3 linked regions of the Arabidopsis thaliana genome follow. The protein of the gene in region 2 purifies or fractionates together with the protein of the main gene of each other region. This does not show direct contact. Each region holds a gene or a part of one and is shown on either strand. Other genes may lie near its edges. The genes, in order: PGM2, ASP2 and MSD1.

Region 1 (7,140 bases), on a different chromosome or scaffold from region 2:
GGAGAGACATAGCAGTGAAGAAGCTATCTCAGGTTTCAAGGCAAGGCAAAAACGAGTTTGTGAACGAGGCTAAGTTGTTGGCTAAAGTTCAGCATCGCAATGTTGTTAATCTTTGGGGTTATTGTACACATGGAGATGATAAGCTCTTGGTTTATGAGTATGTCGTTAATGAGAGCCTCGACAAGGTCCTCTTCAGTAAGTTTTTCTTCTCAATGAGATTGGTTTGTATATTAGGATAAATGATATTGAAAGAAGATGGTTTTAACATGTAGTGGTTGCTTCATTTGAATGCAGAATCCAACAGAAAATCGGAGATAGATTGGAAGCAGAGGTTTGAGATCATAACAGGCATTGCTCGAGGACTGCTCTATCTACATGAAGACGCGCCAAACTGCATCATCCACAGGGATATTAAGGCTGGCAATATTTTGCTGGATGAAAAATGGGTTCCTAAGATTGCAGATTTTGGGATGGCTAGACTCTATCAGGAAGATGTAACACATGTCAACACTCGTGTTGCAGGAACCAAGTATGCTCTCTCTATTGTTTACCCTTAAAAAGCTCATTTACATATCTTCTTGTGTCATTTGAACTCTTTTTGTTTGTTGGTGTTTCATGGTAGAATGTTATTTAACGTCCATTGCTTCTTCTTTTCTTATGCGCAGTGGTTATATGGCGCCAGAGTACGTAATGCACGGGGTTCTATCGGTAAAGGCAGACGTATTCAGCTTTGGGGTTTTGGTTCTGGAGCTCGTAAGTGGACAGAAGAACTCGAGTTTTAGCATGAGACACCCTGACCAGACTCTTCTTGAATGGGTAAAGCCTCTAGTCTCATGCTCCATTGTTTATAGGGTTGTTGTGTGATGGCCTGACCCAGCCAATATTCTTCAGCGTAATATAACCAATGCTAAATTCTTTCTGAATGTGACACAGGCATTTAAGTTGTACAAGAAAGGCCGGACCATGGAGATACTAGACCAAGATATAGCAGCTTCAGCTGATCCAGATCAAGTCAAACTCTGTGTACAGATCGGACTACTCTGCGTTCAAGGCGATCCGCATCAAAGACCGAGCATGAGACGGGTATCTCTACTTCTCTCTAGAAAACCAGGACATCTAGAAGAACCGGATCATCCTGGTGTCCCGGGATCTAGATACCGTCGGCGAACACAACGTCCTTCAGGAGCAGCATCACTTGGAACATTGTCGACCACTGGTTCCAGCACAGATTCTTTCGGTTCAAACCTGAACACAAACACGGGAACTGGTGTTAGAGGTACCCCCGCATCTTCTAAAGCTTCAACTCGGAGTAATGCCACTAGAAGTGCTGGTCAGAGCTCTAGCTCAGACCCTCACGGGAAACGACATATGAGTTATTGAAGTACATAAAATCTGGTCATAGGTGATTGTAAATAGCGAGCTGCATATATAATATTTGTTTCATAATTTATTTAATTTTGCTTTTGAAAAGTAAATTAATTTATTTTTTTGACTGCAGTAGTGATTTAGTTTTGTAGTATGATTTGTTATATTAGCGGGAAAAAATTATGATTCATTTGTTACATTTGTATATTAGAATAATCACTTGTAGTCCCATTATCTAGGTCCCCACTATTGGCCTCGTACGTATAAAAGCATATTCTCTTGTACGTATTAACGGTACCTTACTTTAAACAAAACATAAAACTAAAATGTTTTTTATGCGTTTTAAATTATTTTTCAGTTAAAATTTATAAAAAGGGTTTTTGTAAACAATTATTTTGATAGTAAAAGAAATACTAACTGAAATTAGTGGAGAAAATACACAAACATATATTTAACTTTCTTTAATTTAAAATATACAGATTTTGTTTCTTTAATTTTTTTTTTCAAATTTTAGTTTTCATTTATTTTTAAATAAAGTATGACATGTCATAATGTTGTATTTTGATTTGTCATTAAAAAGGGGGTGAATCAAATTGGTTCACTCTAGAGGTGAACTTCGCCAAAGAATCACAGACCGTCAGTGTTAATCATCAGAGACATCAACGTAATGTTCCTCTTGGTTACTTCTTGCTTTAATGTTCCTCTTGGTTACTTCTTGCTTTCTACCTGATTCAGGTTCTTCAGTTAAAGTTTCTCTTTTCATTTTTGGGGTAATGCCCGGTTGGGCCTCGTTGTTTTATTTAGGTTCTAGTTCTAGGGCCTGCGTGTCCTTTTAGGCAGTTATTGCCATGTATGTTCTTTGGGCCATTCGTGCCTCTGTCGGCTTGTTGGGCCTTGTAATCGTTTCGGCTCTATTGGAAATTAAAAATAAAATATATATACTAACCCGTTTTGGGTAAAAAGTTAGGTCCACTAAAAGACGAAAAGAGATCCTACCAAAAAAAAAAACGAAAAGAGACGAGCCACACGCGTCACCTTCTCGTTTAGCCTCTTCATCTCCTTTCCTCAGACTCACTGTGTAAAAAGGCTTTTATTTTATCATCTTCAGGCTTATTCGATTTTCTTCAGATTTGAAATGGTGTCGTTCAAGGTCTCTCTCGTCTCTACTTCGCCTATTGATGGCCAGAAACCTGGGACTTCTGGACTCCGTAAGAAGGTTCGTTCGCTTTCGCTTCTTCTCCTTGTTATATCAATCCCCGCGTTCTTATTTCGAAATTGGATTAGAGATTTGAATTCTAAATTCAGATCTTCGCAACGAAATTGATTTCTTCATTTAGTTCCGATCTTATGGATTGAATGAATTTTGTGTGTTGGTTTTAACAATTTGATCCGATCCGATGAGATTTGAATTTACGCATTGTTTCGTAATTTTACAGGTGAAAGTGTTTAAGCAACCAAATTACCTTGAAAATTTTGTCCAGGCAACGTTCAATGCTCTTACTACAGAGAAAGTTAAAGGTAAAGATCTCTCTTACCTCTCTTTGATTGTTGTTCAGGTAAAGGTCGATGATTGCAAATTCCATCTAAGAAAGAGTATTTGTTAACTTTTTCAGGTGCGACACTTGTGGTTTCTGGTGATGGTCGTTATTATTCAGAGCAAGCTATTCAGGTAAAAGCTTTATATGTCCTTTGAATGATGGCAAACTGCGTTTTGCATTAACTTATAATTCTTAGACACTTTACTCTTATTTTAGTTGTTTTGAATCTTTTATTTCATAAAAAAGATAGTTCGTCAATACCACTTTATTTCCTATCTGGACAGATTATAGTAAAGATGGCAGCAGCTAATGGTGTTAGACGTGTGTGGGTTGGTCAAAACAGTCTGCTATCAACTCCTGCAGTATCAGCTATTATTCGTGAAAGAGTAGGGGCTGATGTGAGATATCTTCCTCTAAACTCATACTACTTACTTTTCTCTTGGGTTGTTATCTAAGGCTATGCATGTTTGCAACATGTAATGACGTGATGAGAAACTAACCCGAGATCCAATTTCAGGGATCTAAAGCCACAGGAGCATTTATCTTAACAGCAAGTCATAATCCTGGTGGCCCAACTGAGGTCAGTTCTCTTTTTGTTCTCACTCTTTTGTGCTTGTTCATTCGATACCCTCACTTAGTATTATTTGAATCCTAGCATCAGTTTTGTTAAACTATATGTTCATCTCTCTGCTTCCATATGCTGATTTCCTGCTATTCTATTCACAGGATTTCGGAATTAAGTACAATATGGAAAATGGTGGACCAGCTCCTGAATCAATCACTGATAAGATTTACGAGAACACAAAGACAATCAAGGAGTACCCAATAGCGGAAGATCTACCCAGGGTACCTAACATTTCTGATCTTATTACCTGTCATCATCTTTTTTTCATCTTGTATTTGTACTAATCATGTTTTTTTGCTGGTCTTTTTGATTGAATGCAACAGGTTGATATTTCTACTATTGGTATAACCAGCTTTGAAGGACCTGAAGGAAAGTTTGACGTCGAAGTTTTTGATTCTGCAGATGACTATGTTAAACTAATGAAGTAAGTCTTTCCATCTTTGTATCTGAGAGAACAGTTCTTGAATCTACTCCCTCTATGGTCTATGCATTTAAGAGAATGGTTCCAGAATCTGCGGTATCGATGATCTAAAAGATTTGTTCGTCTCTTCAGGTCAATCTTCGACTTTGAATCCATCAAGAAATTGCTATCTTATCCAAAATTTACTTTCTGGTATATAGTTCATCAACATCCATAAATCTTTTCTTTTGAGTTTGTTTGCTTGTATAGGCTCCATCATGTCTTTGATATTTTATTTCCCATCGTTCTATGAAGCTATGATGCATTGCATGGAGTGGCTGGAGCATATGCACATCGCATCTTTGTCGAAGAACTAGGTGCACCAGAAAGTTCGTTGTTGAACTGCGTACCCAAGGTATCATTTTTTTCTTCTTTCTTATTTTGTATAACCAAGAAATATCATTTCCTGAAAGGATTATAAATACACGTTGAACAGTGTCTTTTATGATTTATAACAACACGACAATCGGACAATGTACAGGAGGACTTTGGAGGGGGCCACCCGGATCCCAATCTTACCTATGCTAAGGAGCTCGTGGCACGCATGGGATTGAGTAAAACTGATGATGCTGGTGGCGAGCCTCCAGAGTTTGGCGCCGCTGCTGATGGTGATGCAGACCGAAACATGATCCTCGGTAAAAGGTAGCAGAGACTAATTCTCTTTTAAGTGAGATCACAGAGATGTGGAGCGGATATACCACTCTCCCCGTTAACCAAAAATATCTCTTCTCCGCAGGTTTTTCGTAACTCCTTCGGATTCAGTTGCTATAATTGCTGCAAATGCTGTTGGGGCCATACCATACTTCAGCTCTGGTTTAAAAGGTGTTGCTAGGTATGCATCCCGGTTCTTCTTTGTTTACTCCAGTTCATAGATTGAAAACGCTGGACTTTGGTGTCATACGTTTTTGTTTATTATAGATAGTAACAATCTTTTCTCATTAAATTCTCAACTTTCACATTCGTATTGCAGGAGCATGCCGACCTCAGCTGCACTTGATGTCGTTGCAAAAAACTTGGGTTTGAAGTTCTTTGAGGTAGATGTCATTGTGAAGCTTTTCTCTAGCTTCTATTCATTGCAATCACGTAACATAGTCTATTGCTCTAATACTTCTATATTTTAGGTTCCAACAGGCTGGAAATTCTTTGGCAATCTAATGGATGCTGGGATGTGCTCTGTATGCGGAGAAGAAAGTTTTGGAACCGGTGAGCTTCTATTGCTAGATCTTCACATGTTTTAAAACCGTAACAACCCTACACAACTCACAAAGAAGCTTTTCGACAGGTTCGGATCATATCCGTGAGAAAGATGGGATCTGGGCAGTTCTTGCTTGGCTATCAATACTGGCTCACAAGAACAAGGAAACCCTTGATGGGAATGCAAAACTGGTGACGGTTGAAGACATTGTCCGCCAGCACTGGGCTACATATGGCCGTCACTATTACACTCGATACGACTATGAGGTAAAACTGACAAATGTCATTATTGGTTGTAGACAATATGTAGAATAACCAATTACCTTTGACCAATTTCTAAATATTTGCTCCATAGAACGTAGACGCAACTGCAGCTAAAGAACTCATGGGACTTTTGGTTAAGTTGCAATCTTCACTTCCCGAAGTCAACAAGTATCTCTCTCTCCACTTAATTTCAAATCCATTCCTTTTTACTTGTATGACTTTCAGACTCACGTTTTTGGATAATTGGTCAGGATTATAAAGGGAATTCATCCAGAGGTGGCAAATGTTGCAAGCGCAGATGAGTTCGAGTACAAAGATCCAGTAGATGGCTCTGTTTCAAAGCACCAAGGGATCCGATACTTATTCGAGGATGGATCACGACTTGTAAGTCGATATGTGTGAAATGGATTCATAACAATTCAACAACCTGTGAAATTGTAAAAGCTAATCCGGGCTTGTTTCTCTTGTTCATGAAGGTGTTCCGTCTCTCGGGAACTGGCTCAGAAGGAGCAACAATAAGGCTATACATTGAACAATACGAGAAGGACGCCTCAAAGATCGGCCGAGATTCTCAGGATGCTCTTGGTCCCCTGGTCAGATTCCCAGATACCTTAATTACTCCCAAATTTACGCATAATCGATCTTTGTCATGTTTATTAACACCAATTGTTGGTGTCTGATTTTCACAGGTTGATGTTGCATTAAAGCTGTCGAAAATGCAAGAGTTCACCGGCCGATCATCACCAACTGTTATTACATAAGACAGCTTTCAGAAGACGCTGTCTCCAATACTACTCTCATTCCAACTTCATTTCTTATGAATTTGGGTTTTGCTTTTTTCCTGTTATCTGTTATCTTACACAAGTATACTTCAATACATATAATTTTAATGGAATATACATTAGGTTGGCAATTGAATTTCTAGCTTTGTTTGGCTCCTCCAAATAAAAAAGAATTGCCACAATATTGGAGCATGTGTGGCAGATGGAGACGTAGCAAGAGTAAAAAGCGAATCCAACAATAACTGATACCTAAAACCTACGGTGTACAACTATAGATAATGGACCCGAGAGGTGGTGATGACAAGCCAGAAGACAGATGTTTATAATTTGTCTCTTGAGCTTGACCAACAAAAACATTCTGACAGTTAAAAGCTAATGTTGGGCATGAATTTCGTGAATCAGATTGTGCCATGTGTTAGTTTGTATAAGTGAGTCAGGGTTCACGGGTTCTTTCTTATTTGGTTTTTAAATCCAAAAGAAAGAGAGGCATCATTACCATCCAAACACTCCTCCCACTTTAGGCTTTCTTCCTCTGTCCTTTCTCCATATTTGTTGTCTTCTACTAAACTTTTGTCTCAACAATGACTGATGCTTTAGCTAACCATCAACATTGTAACATACAGTTGATGGTTAGCTATTTGCTATACATTTGTCTATTTCTCTTGCTTCTATAGTCAAAGTATAGAGTTAGCTCGTATAAAAAGATCAGCATTTAAGTATAAAAAAAATTAGAATGATTTTATGTATAGTATTGTCTAACTTTAGGTGAAATCACAACTGATTATAGAATCCTCGAAGAAAAATATTAAAAAATCAAAAGGCTTAATATTAGCATTTTCTTATGCAGAAATGCTTAATTAATCAAAATAAGTCTTTTCACGTAATTGATTCATGTAACTATAGTAAATTGTT
Region 2 (6,908 bases):
CCCGTAAAACAAAAACGAGGGAGGAACCATGGCGGTGAGCTCATTCGCCGTCCTTCCTCCATTTGGTTCCTCATACAGCTCCACAACCGATAGATCTTCTTCTTCTTCGTTTTACTCATCTTCGAAACTTCTCCGCATATCTCAATACCGGTTCCAGTCAAATTCCCGTTGTCCAAATGTGTTCGTCTCGTGCTCACTGAATCAGCCTTCTGATGATGCTTCCGACGCCGCCCTTTTTCTCGAATCCAATTCAATTGCTGATTACATGCGGTTCAAACGCCGTCCCGACCCCGGAAATGGTACCAGCGAGTTGCAGACTGCAATCGTGAGTTACAAGAAACGTTTCCCTTGGATTCTTCTCAACCCTTTTCTTCAGGTTACATCACCATCTCTGTTACTTGCTGGGTTTCCATTTAAATCGATAAAGGTAACATTTTTATCGATTTCATCATCTCTATATTGCAGGTGGATTTGGTCTCAACTATTCATATTGCAGATAAAGAGTGAGTCTTTCTTCTATTGCTCGTAATTTGTTTATATCACTAGTGAGTTTGATTAAGTTTTAATTAGTTTCTTGTGTGGTGATATATGTGGATTGGGTTTGGGTGTGTAGGTACTTCACAACTCTTCAGAAGGAGCTTGAACCATATGATTCTATCTTGTATGAGATGGTGGCTAGTAAAGAGACCTTGGAAAACAGGAGAAACCCTATTGCATCTAAGAGGCTCAAGAGTTCTCGTTCAAGAGGTTTCAGTATTCTTGGGTTCATTCAGCGGCAGATGGCAAGAGTACTAACACTTGATTTTCAGCTAGATTGTCTAGATTACGATACTGAGAATTGGTACCATGCTGATCTCGATTTCGAGACATTCCAGTTGCTTCAGGTTTGTTTCCAAAGAACAGAAGTGCCTGTCTTTAGTTGTTGCTTGTTCTCTGTCATTTTTGAGTAATATTCTTTGGTTTCCGCATTGGCCTGTATCATGGTTGTATTATTTGGGAGTGAGAACTATCAGTTGAATGATGATTAAACCTGTATCATATTTGTTGCAGAAGGAGAAAGGAGAAAGCTTCTTCTCATTTGCCAGGGACATGACTATTAGATCAACAAAAGCAATGATACAGCCAGCTTTGGTAACTGAAGGTCGTGATACTTGGAGGTCAAAGCTTCTATGGGTTTCACGGGTTTTTCCTATGCCTCTTGTGGGTCTTTTCCTAATCGGGGCTTTTTGTGCTGACTTTGGAGATCAGACCTCAGACTATCCAGAATTAGAAGCACTTTCACGGCTTGACTTTGGAGCTGCTATGAAGGTTTTCCTTGCTAAGAGATTGACATCCGAGTAAGTCCGGTCTTGTTCATGATTCTGAAGTTGTTTTTCTTTTGCTGATCTAAACTTGGGATATGTGCTCTACTTGACACATTTCTTACCATTTGAATTGTGTATGTGCTTCAAAGATAGGGCAAGGCAGAGTAGTTTTTTTCTTATTTTCTTAGAACATGCAAATATATGTAAGGCTAGTAGGAAGTTAACTATTCTATTATTTTTTGTTGTTGTTGTGAAGGCTAACACTAGAGACATCAGATATAGAGGAAAAATCTGTCATCATTGGTGAGAGAAACCGAGCAGCTACGGAAGCTTTAAGAAGAGCAATAGAGCAAGGACACAAGAGAATTGGAATTCTATATGGCGGAGGCCACATGCCCGACCTGGGAAGACGACTGAGAGAAGAGTTTGATCTTGTTCCTTCAGAGGTAAGATGGGTAACAGCTTGGTCCATCAGAAATCCAACGGACTTGGAGACTAGTTCATATCCGATTCTGAGGAAAATGGCAGAGGCTTTGCGTTGGCCACTAAACCGGTACCAAACATTGGCATTGCTAATATTTTCATCTGTACTTGCACTGGATCTCTGCTTTTGGGAGCTCTTCTTTGGTTCGACAATTGACTGGGCTACCCAGATAGGTGCAGAGTTATACCAGTTTATAGATAATACAAAAATTGTATGACGCAGCACAGAATCATGTACAAACAGTGTCAAATACCTTTTACAGTGTCCCAAGTCTCTCTGTTGTAAAGCAAACATGGCTCTGATGTCAAAGAAATCTATTGAATAGGTAACTCTAGTTGTTTTTGGTTTGATGATAATGTTTTTATGAAGAAAAAAAAATTACTTAATAAATGGAAATTAGAATTCAGACAAAGAAAAACGACAAAAAAAAAAAAAGAAGTCAGACAAAGAAAAAAGGAATTGGAATATTTCTCGTATAAAAAAAAAATGTAAATAAAATTTCTCGACTTGTTGGGCAAGTTCAAGCATCGCCCACAGTTGCCAAATCGCAATATAGGCGCCCACAGCTAAAAGTTGATTCTCAAAACCTCTCTCTCTTTGTGAACAAGATTAAAAAGACGACTTCTCTTTTAACTTATTCCTCCTCTGCTTCTTCAAGATCCATTGTCTGCAATTTCAATCCCTTGTCTCGTCATGGATTCCGTCTTCTCTAACGTTGCTCGTGCTCCCGAAGATCCTATTCTCGGTGTATGTCGCTTCTCTGTTTGATCTCCTCTTACTTTTTTCGCGTTTTAGTTGATTTTTTATTCCGTCTTTGCTTCGATCTCACTCGGTTATCCGAAATCATGACGGTTATATCTGATTTTAGTGCGTCTCTACTTTTTTTCCGTCTGATCGGAGAGAGTTGGGATTTGATTTCTCTGTGTTTTACTCGATTTGGATATGATTCTTATTTGGCTACTGGGAATTAGAAGACATATGACTCTCGATGATCTACTGGCACAGTGAATATTATTAGTCTGTGTGATCAATGATTTGATTATTAGTTTTTAGTAACGTTTTTGAGAGTTAATGATTTGTTGAAAACAGGTAACTGTTGCTTACAACAATGATCCTAGTCCTGTTAAGATCAATTTGGGTGTCGGTGCCTACCGAACTGAGGTAATTTTTCGATTTCTGCTTAAACTGTTAAGCAACTTTATGGTATCAATTGTTTCTACTAGCCAGTTTTTGAAAGCTCAGGTTTTGATTAGTTTGTTTCTCTTTTTTTCAAAGGAAGGGAAGCCTCTTGTTCTTGATGTGGTGCGTAAGGCAGAGCAACAGCTAGTGAACGATCCGTGAGTTGAAGAACATTGTCACTAATTCGTGTAGTTGTCTCTTCTTATTCTTGTTTTTTGCTAATGCCTAAATTCTTTTCTCTACTTCTCTAAGGTCTCGGGTCAAGGAATACATTCCCATTGTTGGTATTTCCGATTTTAACAAGTTAAGCGCCAAGCTCATCTTAGGTGCTGACAGGTAATCATCTATACTGTTTATTTGTTATCTTTTCATTTGTGTTTTGCTTTGTTTCTCTTGTGACATAATATCCCCTTTAGTTGATAAAGTTTAATATTTTATAAATATTCTTGTTTTGTTGGCAGTCCTGCGATTACAGAAAGTAGAGTTACTACAGTCCAGTGCTTGTCTGGTACTGGTTCGTTGAGAGTTGGGGCTGAGTTTCTCAAAACACACTACCACCAAGTAAACTTCTCTCTATTTAGTTTTTTATTATATTTGACAGTCATTGAATTATGTAATCAAACAAGTGTTGCTTACTATGGTTCTCATCCTTCCAGAGTGTCATTTACATTCCAAAACCAACTTGGGGGAACCATCCCAAAGTTTTCAACTTGGCAGGCTTGTCTGTGGAGTATTTCCGCTACTATGATCCTGCAACCCGTGGTCTTGACTTCAAAGGTTGATTCTTAACTTTCCATTAATTTTTGTTTTCATCTTCATGTGGTTGCACTGACATTAATTTAGTCATGGTTATTGCTTGATTATCCATCTACTCTACTTTTCCTGTGTTTTCCTTGATATAACCACAATGAAATTATTTCTGTAAGTTTAATGATCGTATTTTGACAATTCTATGTTTGAAATTTGAGTAAGGAAAGAAATCTCAAGATTGCACTCTGTCAAAGTAAAATGGCATTTGATACAAACATTGACCTTTGATGCCAAAAAAACAGGCTTGCTCGAGGATCTTGGCGCTGCACCATCTGGAGCTATTGTCTTACTTCATGCATGTGCACACAATCCCACTGGAGTTGACCCAACCTCTGAACAGTGGGAACAGATTCGACAGCTGATGAGATCTAAAAGCTTATTACCCTTTTTTGATAGTGCATATCAGGTAGCACTCATAAAGGAAGTCTTGCTTTGTTGCTTTATTCAATGGTGGTTTACAAACAAATGAACCCCGTTATAGTGTATGCTTGAATCTTATCTAATGTAGAAAAATAGCAGCCTGACTCATTTTTCCTAACACTTTTGCAGGGTTTTGCTAGTGGTAGCCTTGACACAGATGCACAATCTGTCCGTACATTTGTTGCTGATGGCGGTGAATGCTTGATAGCTCAAAGTTACGCCAAAAATATGGGACTTTATGGGGAGCGTGTTGGTGCCCTTAGCATTGTAAGGAACCAAACTTCTCAATTTCTTATTCGCTTCTATTCATTTGACATTATGGTTAGTCAAAAAGTTCATCTAATGGATAGTACAAGAATACAGTATTCAAAAATTGCATCTAATCTGTGTGATATAATGTGAAGGTCTGCAAGTCAGCAGATGTGGCTAGTAAGGTTGAGAGCCAGGTGAAGCTTGTTGTGCGGCCCATGTATTCGAGCCCCCCTATTCATGGAGCATCAATTGTTGCCACCATTCTAAAAAGCAGGTACATGATTATCATGCTTTAGTTTACAATTACTTTGAATATATTATGTTGGAGAAGGAACCTTTAAACCGGAGTTAGTATAGTAAAATTACATTTTTAGATTATTACATACAAGATATATGTATACATTGAAAGCTGACATTAAAAATTAATAGGCAAGTGGAAAGAGAGATCCCTACTGATCTTCCATACGCAGTAATTTGATAGTTTATGCTGTGTTGAAATGGTTATGCCAAGTTTCTTTTTCTATGGAATCATGCATATATCACAAACATTTTCCTTTGCTTTATCAAGCTTATAATGAATATCTATGGAATTAGGTTCTGCTCTAAGTTTCTAAAATTTCTTTGTATATATTGGCAGTGATATGTACAACAACTGGACCATCGAGCTGAAAGAAATGGCTGACCGTATAAAGAGCATGCGCCAACAGTTATTTGAAGCTATACAAGCTAGAGGTTTATTATTAATTCCTTTCCTCTCTTATTTTTCACTCTGTTTATCTTCTTTTCCATGTTTGCAGAATCATTACTCTGCAGTTTTTTGTTCTTGACACGTTGTCTGGATTGCAGGTACACCTGGTGACTGGAGTCATATTATCAAACAGATTGGGATGTTTACATTTACTGGATTGAACAAGGAGCAAGTTGAATTCATGACCAAAGAGTTCCACATTTACATGACCTCTGATGGGTGAGTCAACTTATATTTTCTTTTCGATAATTTTAGGAATATGAGTGAGTTTGGTTTCTGCTATGCCTAAAACCATAAGTATATATGACATGAAGTATTTCTAAGAGGTCCTAAAATACTTTCGCCAAACTCTCTTAGTTGTAAGAGTATTAGCAGTAATAACCAGATATATATAGAACTAGATCCACAGGTTTCATTATGTTCTTCTTAGGCATGTGAACCAAGATAGTTGCTTTGATATTTTGAGAAAGTGAGATATGACATCATATTCTTGCTAGTGAAATTATAGTTGCATGAAGCAAAGGATATTAGAAAATACCAGATTTGTAAGTTTTCTGAGCTTCAAATTGAAAAAGGGTTACTTTGTTGTATTGCAGGAGAATAAGCATGGCAGGTCTAAGTTCGAAGACAGTGCCTCACCTTGCCGATGCTATGCATGCTGCAGTGACCCGCCTCGGCTAAACTAGCGACCATACATTTTTTTGCTGTTTCTACAAATAAAATGGGACAAAAAAAAAGAACACCGTTTTTGTTGGCTTATATACTATGGTTTTTTTCTGATGGTACCATATGTTTCCTCATGTCTTTTGACTAAAGATGGTTGAACCAAAACCAAAGTGAGGATTGTGACATTGAGATCTACCGTTTCTAAGAAAATATTGGTTACTTTAATTTGCCACCAACAATTGTTATTTTGCAGAATTTTCAAATGTCCTGTTATTTTATTTGCTGAGAGATCCTTATAGTTTGGTTCTCGCTGGAAAAAAATAAGTTTTGGGAAGTTTGGCACACCTAAGAAGAAGTATGATTTGTATTAGAAAAAAAAATACTTGTCGGAATACTCTCTAATTGGTCCATCTCTTAAAATATCACATAAACATAATTTTCAAATGAAGCAATCGATCGTTTGGAATTGTAAGGGACATATAGTGAACATGAAAGATAAGAAAATGTAAAACGGAATGAGGTTATATGGTTTTTTGTATTTAATTAGTTTTCTTTTGTTTCTTTAATGAAAACTTGTTTCAATGTGTCCATTTATAGGTAGACTCATTTGTTTAAGCCGCTTGATAAAAAAAAATGTCAATGCAATATTTATACATCAGTGAGTGGATGAGAAAATGGTCATAAACACCACTTTTCAAAGTGATAAATTACACGACGTGATTAAACGATTAAAGCAGTATTATAAGATATTGAAATCAAATCTTTTAAATTAGTAGGATAAACAGAAATGTTTAGACTTGGTAAAGAGTCGCCGTGTTACATGCCTCCATGCTACTGTTGCACTAACGAATTAGTCAAAATCTGATTTTAAAATTCGATTGTCTCTCTTTTTAAGTTATTAAGTTTGTAAATTCCAGCTATATTTGATCCATAGTCTTACTTAATTCGAGATCAGGCTTAAACAATAACGATCCACAAAACATAAATTATCCCTCTCCAAGTTTATAGCACATAGGATTCTAACTCGGTCCGGCGGGTAACTCTA
Region 3 (4,466 bases), on a different chromosome or scaffold from region 2:
TCCCTGTTCACACCATAAAAAGTATAAACTTCATATAAGAATTTGGTTCACTGAGTTTAAAACAACAATGTCGCAGGAACTAAAACGAGATCAACAAGCCAACGTGGGGGATGAAACTGAAGGATCAAAAAACATAGAAGCTTTTTCCTTTCATTTGCATTTAAGGATCAAGTTACTAACCGATGTAAAGAAGAGTGCAGAGAGATATATAGCTACCAATGGCAGAGAGAAGCCACAGACAAATCACCACCTGCTAAAGAAAAATCGTCAGACCAACAGTTCAGATGCTTAACGGTTCCCATGTCATTTCACTCAACATCATCGTGAGTTTCTGAATGGGTTAGCTTCATAACCTTGAAGAAGAGTCGAAAATCGTTGCCAACTGTGACATCATGAGCCATTACAAGCAAGTGATTGAGTTTTATACGGAAAGAAGCTGCAGCACTATTCACCATTTCCTCTGATAGAACAAGCTCTGGCAACGAATGCAACTGTCTGCTTATAAAGAGATAACAGGTAGAAATCATCACTAATCAGTCACATAACAGCAAAGAATTAAGAAAAAGAAGACTAGTGAAAAGTAGAGCGCACCTATTCCTAAAAGCAGAAACCCGGGCATGAACGAATGATATCATGATCACGATGAGTAAGACATCCGAAGAAACAGATAAGAAAGGCAACCCGGAAAACTCGAATATAAGCCAGGCTACAGTTGATATAATGATAACCCCCAAAGAAAGATGTCGCCTCCTCCATAAGAGCAAGTCAGCAGCTACATCAAAGAACAAAGCCATACAAAAATCACAAACAGTAGCTTTTTGCTGGACCTATGAACTCATCATGCGTATCCAGAGATTTGAATCAATCAATTTCTCATTCAAAATCAAACCTAAACCTAACTTTCACCTGCCAAGTTTTCCATTTTCTACTATACCCAAAATGCTAAATGTACTTACACACATGACGATTTTCACAACCAACCAAAATCAGAAACCCTAACTATTCCAACTATCATCCCCAATTTGAATTTTCTGTTCTGTAAATCCGAGAAAATTCTCATCACAAACTACCAAAATGATGAAAAAACACAAATTCTGGAAAAAAGAACTCGCCTTTGCCACCACCCATGAACTGATGAACCGTAATCTGCCGACCCAACAATCGATAATCCGATGACGATCCTCCTTCATTTCTTCCATCGAAATCACCATCGATATCACTTAAACTATCCATCGGAGAATTAAAAAAAAAAAACCGAATTTACACAAATTCTCCGACTTCCAGGTTCCTATTTCGATCTCGCCGACTCCGATTTGAAATTTACCTTAAAGATACGATCTCAGTACAATGGTTTGTGAAAGCAGCTAGATTGATGGGAGAATGACAGCGATTGGGTGGATTATCAAGGAGGAACCAAATAGAATTGGCTTTCACATGCATCCAACAAATTCAACATTTGGAAATTCTCCGTTTCTAGTCAACTTTCTTCATTTCTTTATTTTTTTCCTGTGAACAAACAAAAAAGTAACATTTAGCCGTCACAAAATATTAAAAATTACGCTTTATTATATTAAGGCCTTGGGCTCACTAATCCAATATTACGGCCCATAAATAAAAATCACATGTCTACGTGTCAAAACAGTCACTTTTCTCTATACATGACAGGCAGTGATATTATCATAACCCTCCACTTATACACATGTTCATTTTTGGCGACCACTAGAAGGAGAAACAAATCTTCATTCCAACAATGGCGATTCGTTGTGTAGCGAGTAGAAAAACCCTAGCCGGCTTGAAGGAGACATCATCGAGGCTATTGAGGATCAGAGGGATTCAGACTTTTACGCTTCCTGATCTTCCTTACGATTATGGCGCATTGGAACCGGCCATTAGTGGAGAGATCATGCAGATTCATCACCAGAAGCATCACCAGGCTTATGTTACTAATTACAATAATGCTCTTGAGCAGCTTGATCAAGCTGTGAACAAGGGAGATGCTTCCACTGTTGTTAAGTTGCAGAGCGCCATCAAATTCAACGGCGGAGGTGTGTTTGTGTGTCTGACTCTCTTTTTTTTTTTTTTTTACGATCTCGATTTCTATGTGTTTGATCGATTGGTTTGTGTTTAGATCGTGTTTGGATGATATTAGCAAATGAAGTAGTTGATTTAGGAGAGAAATTTGGTTTGAACAGTGAAGCTGATGAGTAATTTTGATGAATTGGGATGAAACTTCTGTAAGAATCAATGAAACTTTTATCGGTAATGCAAGCTTTCTTAGATAGCTACTTTTGTTTGCTGGGTCTTGAGATCATAACCAGTTGATTTAGTATAGAACTTTTGTTAGGAACATTGAAGCTGTTGATTAATTTTGATGACTATAGTTTGGTATTAGGATTGTTGCTTCTTGAGCTCCGGACCGGTTGGATTGATAGAAGAGAAATTGGCAGAGAAACTATTGGAAATAAATTGAGTTTTTTGTGTGCTAGAGAATGGGAATTGATCGACTTTATTTCTAACGTGCAGGTCATGTCAACCATTCGATTTTCTGGAAGAACCTTGCTCCTTCCAGTGTGAGCTTGTGTTTTGAGTTTCTGTGTATTTCTTCGATTTTGTTGTTCTGTAATTGATGGTTTGTTTTAATGTATAACAGGAAGGTGGTGGAGAGCCACCAAAAGGATCTCTTGGTAGTGCCATTGACGCTCACTTTGGCTCCCTTGAAGGTCTGGTGAAAAAGATGAGTGCTGAGGGTGCTGCAGTGCAAGGCTCAGGATGGGTGGTCTGTAGTCTAGTTTCACCTTTTTATTTCATCTGCTCACATTGTCGACTCTGGTGCTTTACGTATAATAACCATGGTCCTTGATTCGCTTGTTTCTGTTGATTAATTCAGTGGCTCGGACTAGACAAAGAACTGAAGAAGCTAGTTGTTGACACAACTGCCAATCAGGTAACTTATCCATGATCAGGAATGCGCTATTGAATATGTTCAAAAGATTTCTTGGTACTCATGAACATCTGTGAGAATAATGGGTTTTAAAGAAAAAGAGTTTGTTTCGGTTGGTGCAGGATCCATTAGTGACAAAAGGAGGAAGCTTGGTACCTCTGGTGGGTATAGATGTTTGGGAGCACGCCTACTACTTGCAGGTAACAACACTTTTGATACCTTAAGTCTCATGAGTTAGCTTAAAAGATTAAGCTCTCTAATCAATCTGTATTCTCTCATTCAGTACAAAAATGTGAGGCCTGAGTATCTGAAGAATGTATGGAAAGTGATCAACTGGAAATATGCAAGCGAGGTTTATGAGAAGGAAAACAACTGAATCGTTTACACGATGACATAAGGAGATGAACCAGTTCCAGCTCAGCTTTTGTTTTAAGGTTGTCTGAAACAAACTTACAGTGTCTCTTTGGTTTTTAAGATTTGCTCAACTCAGCTGTGTGGTACGTTGTTTTACAATGAAAGTTTTCAAGAATAAAAATTTGCTATTATTGTCAGAAAGCGCTATTGTTTATTCTACGAAGAAAACAAAACGGAATCTTATTGGTATAATAATTACCTCATTTCAATAAAACAATAACTAATTTTCTCGTTTTTCACTACTCGACACATATATGACAGGAATATTATAACGAAGAAATTTGGGATTAATGAAATTTGTGAAATAATGCATACACACTTGTGTAATAAAAATGCATTATCTTTGTGTCTGCGTTGTGGAAAATGGATCATAGTCAAGTCTCATAAAAAACGCGTTCAATTCAATTTATACATATTTCGCCTAACTTTTGATTCTTTACGCCTTGGCCCCATTCTTATCTTTTAATTTTATCTCTTTCTTGGAAGTTACCCAAACACTAATACAATGTCAATTCAAATGGTATCCTTGACTCTTTTATGCGTTTAACTTAAAAGACTTTCTTAGTCTAAATAAAATTGATACATAATCATAGAAATTAAAAAGCTGATTAACGTTTATCAAAGAAATATTGATGAAACGATACAAGATGATAGTCTAAGTCTTGATCATTTCGACTTACATTACCAAATAAAATCCTCATTTTTCCTAAACTTCTACTGTAAATTTCTGTAATACATGTAACATTTACAATAATCTCTATTTGAAAACGAAAAATCAAAGAATCTCTAAAGAACAAAAAAAGAAAGAAGTAAGAATTAGGACAGAAAACTCTAGAAAGAATAGTGCTAAGTCTTGACGTCGTTAGTTTTCTTGCTGGGTCCAGACCCCGGACGACTCCCTTTCGGAAGAGCATTCAACACCAAGGACCCGAACTTTCCGGCGACAACTTCAGGAACAAAAGAAGAATATTCCGTCTTGGTCTCCTGCTCGCCTCCGCAACCAACCACCGCCGACTTAGAAACAGGAGGGATCTCTCCGGAGAAGATGACTGGAACAAACTCTCCGGGTAAGATCCTCGCCGTCGATAGAGAAACAGAGATGAAAAGAAGA

Evidence for each region.
Region 1: the proteins of ASP2 (region 2) and PGM2 fractionate together in Arabidopsis thaliana (co-fractionation; one large-scale study listed by BioGRID). This does not show direct contact.
Region 3: the proteins of ASP2 (region 2) and MSD1 fractionate together in Arabidopsis thaliana (co-fractionation; one large-scale study listed by BioGRID). This does not show direct contact.

Annotation. Positions count from the first base shown.
Region 1 is NC_003070.9:26,668,087-26,675,226, reverse strand, and holds PGM2 (Phosphoglucomutase/phosphomannomutase family protein), read left to right. Parts: upstream 1-2,060; coding exon 2,061-2,135; intron 2,136-2,344; coding exon 2,345-2,581; intron 2,582-2,801; coding exon 2,802-2,883; intron 2,884-2,978; coding exon 2,979-3,034; intron 3,035-3,187; coding exon 3,188-3,301; intron 3,302-3,420; coding exon 3,421-3,483; intron 3,484-3,629; coding exon 3,630-3,749; intron 3,750-3,851; coding exon 3,852-3,952; intron 3,953-4,081; coding exon 4,082-4,141; intron 4,142-4,243; coding exon 4,244-4,343; intron 4,344-4,469; coding exon 4,470-4,630; intron 4,631-4,724; coding exon 4,725-4,820; intron 4,821-4,958; coding exon 4,959-5,022; intron 5,023-5,109; coding exon 5,110-5,191; intron 5,192-5,270; coding exon 5,271-5,449; intron 5,450-5,537; coding exon 5,538-5,614; intron 5,615-5,697; coding exon 5,698-5,830; intron 5,831-5,922; coding exon 5,923-6,039; intron 6,040-6,135; coding exon 6,136-6,207; 3' UTR 6,208-6,581; downstream 6,582-7,140. Other genes in the region: AT1G70740 (Protein kinase superfamily protein), read left to right, coding at 1-195, 295-529, 666-852, 934-1,380. UniProt on the Arabidopsis thaliana protein: Catalyzes the reversible isomerization of alpha-D-glucose 1-phosphate to alpha-D-glucose 6-phosphate. The mechanism proceeds via the intermediate compound alpha-D-glucose 1,6-bisphosphate.
Region 2 is NC_003076.8:6,595,720-6,602,627, forward strand, and holds ASP2 (aspartate aminotransferase 2), read left to right. Parts: upstream 1-2,251; 5' UTR 2,252-2,481; coding exon 2,482-2,535; intron 2,536-2,877; coding exon 2,878-2,949; intron 2,950-3,063; coding exon 3,064-3,125; intron 3,126-3,219; coding exon 3,220-3,303; intron 3,304-3,428; coding exon 3,429-3,528; intron 3,529-3,623; coding exon 3,624-3,744; intron 3,745-4,019; coding exon 4,020-4,183; intron 4,184-4,326; coding exon 4,327-4,464; intron 4,465-4,601; coding exon 4,602-4,723; intron 4,724-5,086; coding exon 5,087-5,181; intron 5,182-5,295; coding exon 5,296-5,416; intron 5,417-5,793; coding exon 5,794-5,878; 3' UTR 5,879-6,252; downstream 6,253-6,908. Other genes in the region: AT5G19540 (thermosome subunit gamma), read left to right, coding at 29-376, 466-503, 614-884, 1,051-1,337, 1,561-2,005.
Region 3 is NC_003074.8:3,416,265-3,420,730, forward strand, and holds MSD1 (manganese superoxide dismutase 1), read left to right. Parts: upstream 1-1,675; 5' UTR 1,676-1,750; coding exon 1,751-2,045; intron 2,046-2,523; coding exon 2,524-2,570; intron 2,571-2,650; coding exon 2,651-2,776; intron 2,777-2,887; coding exon 2,888-2,944; intron 2,945-3,063; coding exon 3,064-3,141; intron 3,142-3,224; coding exon 3,225-3,317; 3' UTR 3,318-3,628; downstream 3,629-4,466. Other genes in the region: AT3G10915 (Reticulon family protein), read right to left, coding at 1-3, 181-250, 354-495, 592-772, 1,113-1,192, 1,325-1,440; AT3G10930 (uncharacterized protein), read right to left, coding at 3,964-4,269. UniProt on the Arabidopsis thaliana protein: Destroys superoxide anion radicals which are normally produced within the cells and which are toxic to biological systems.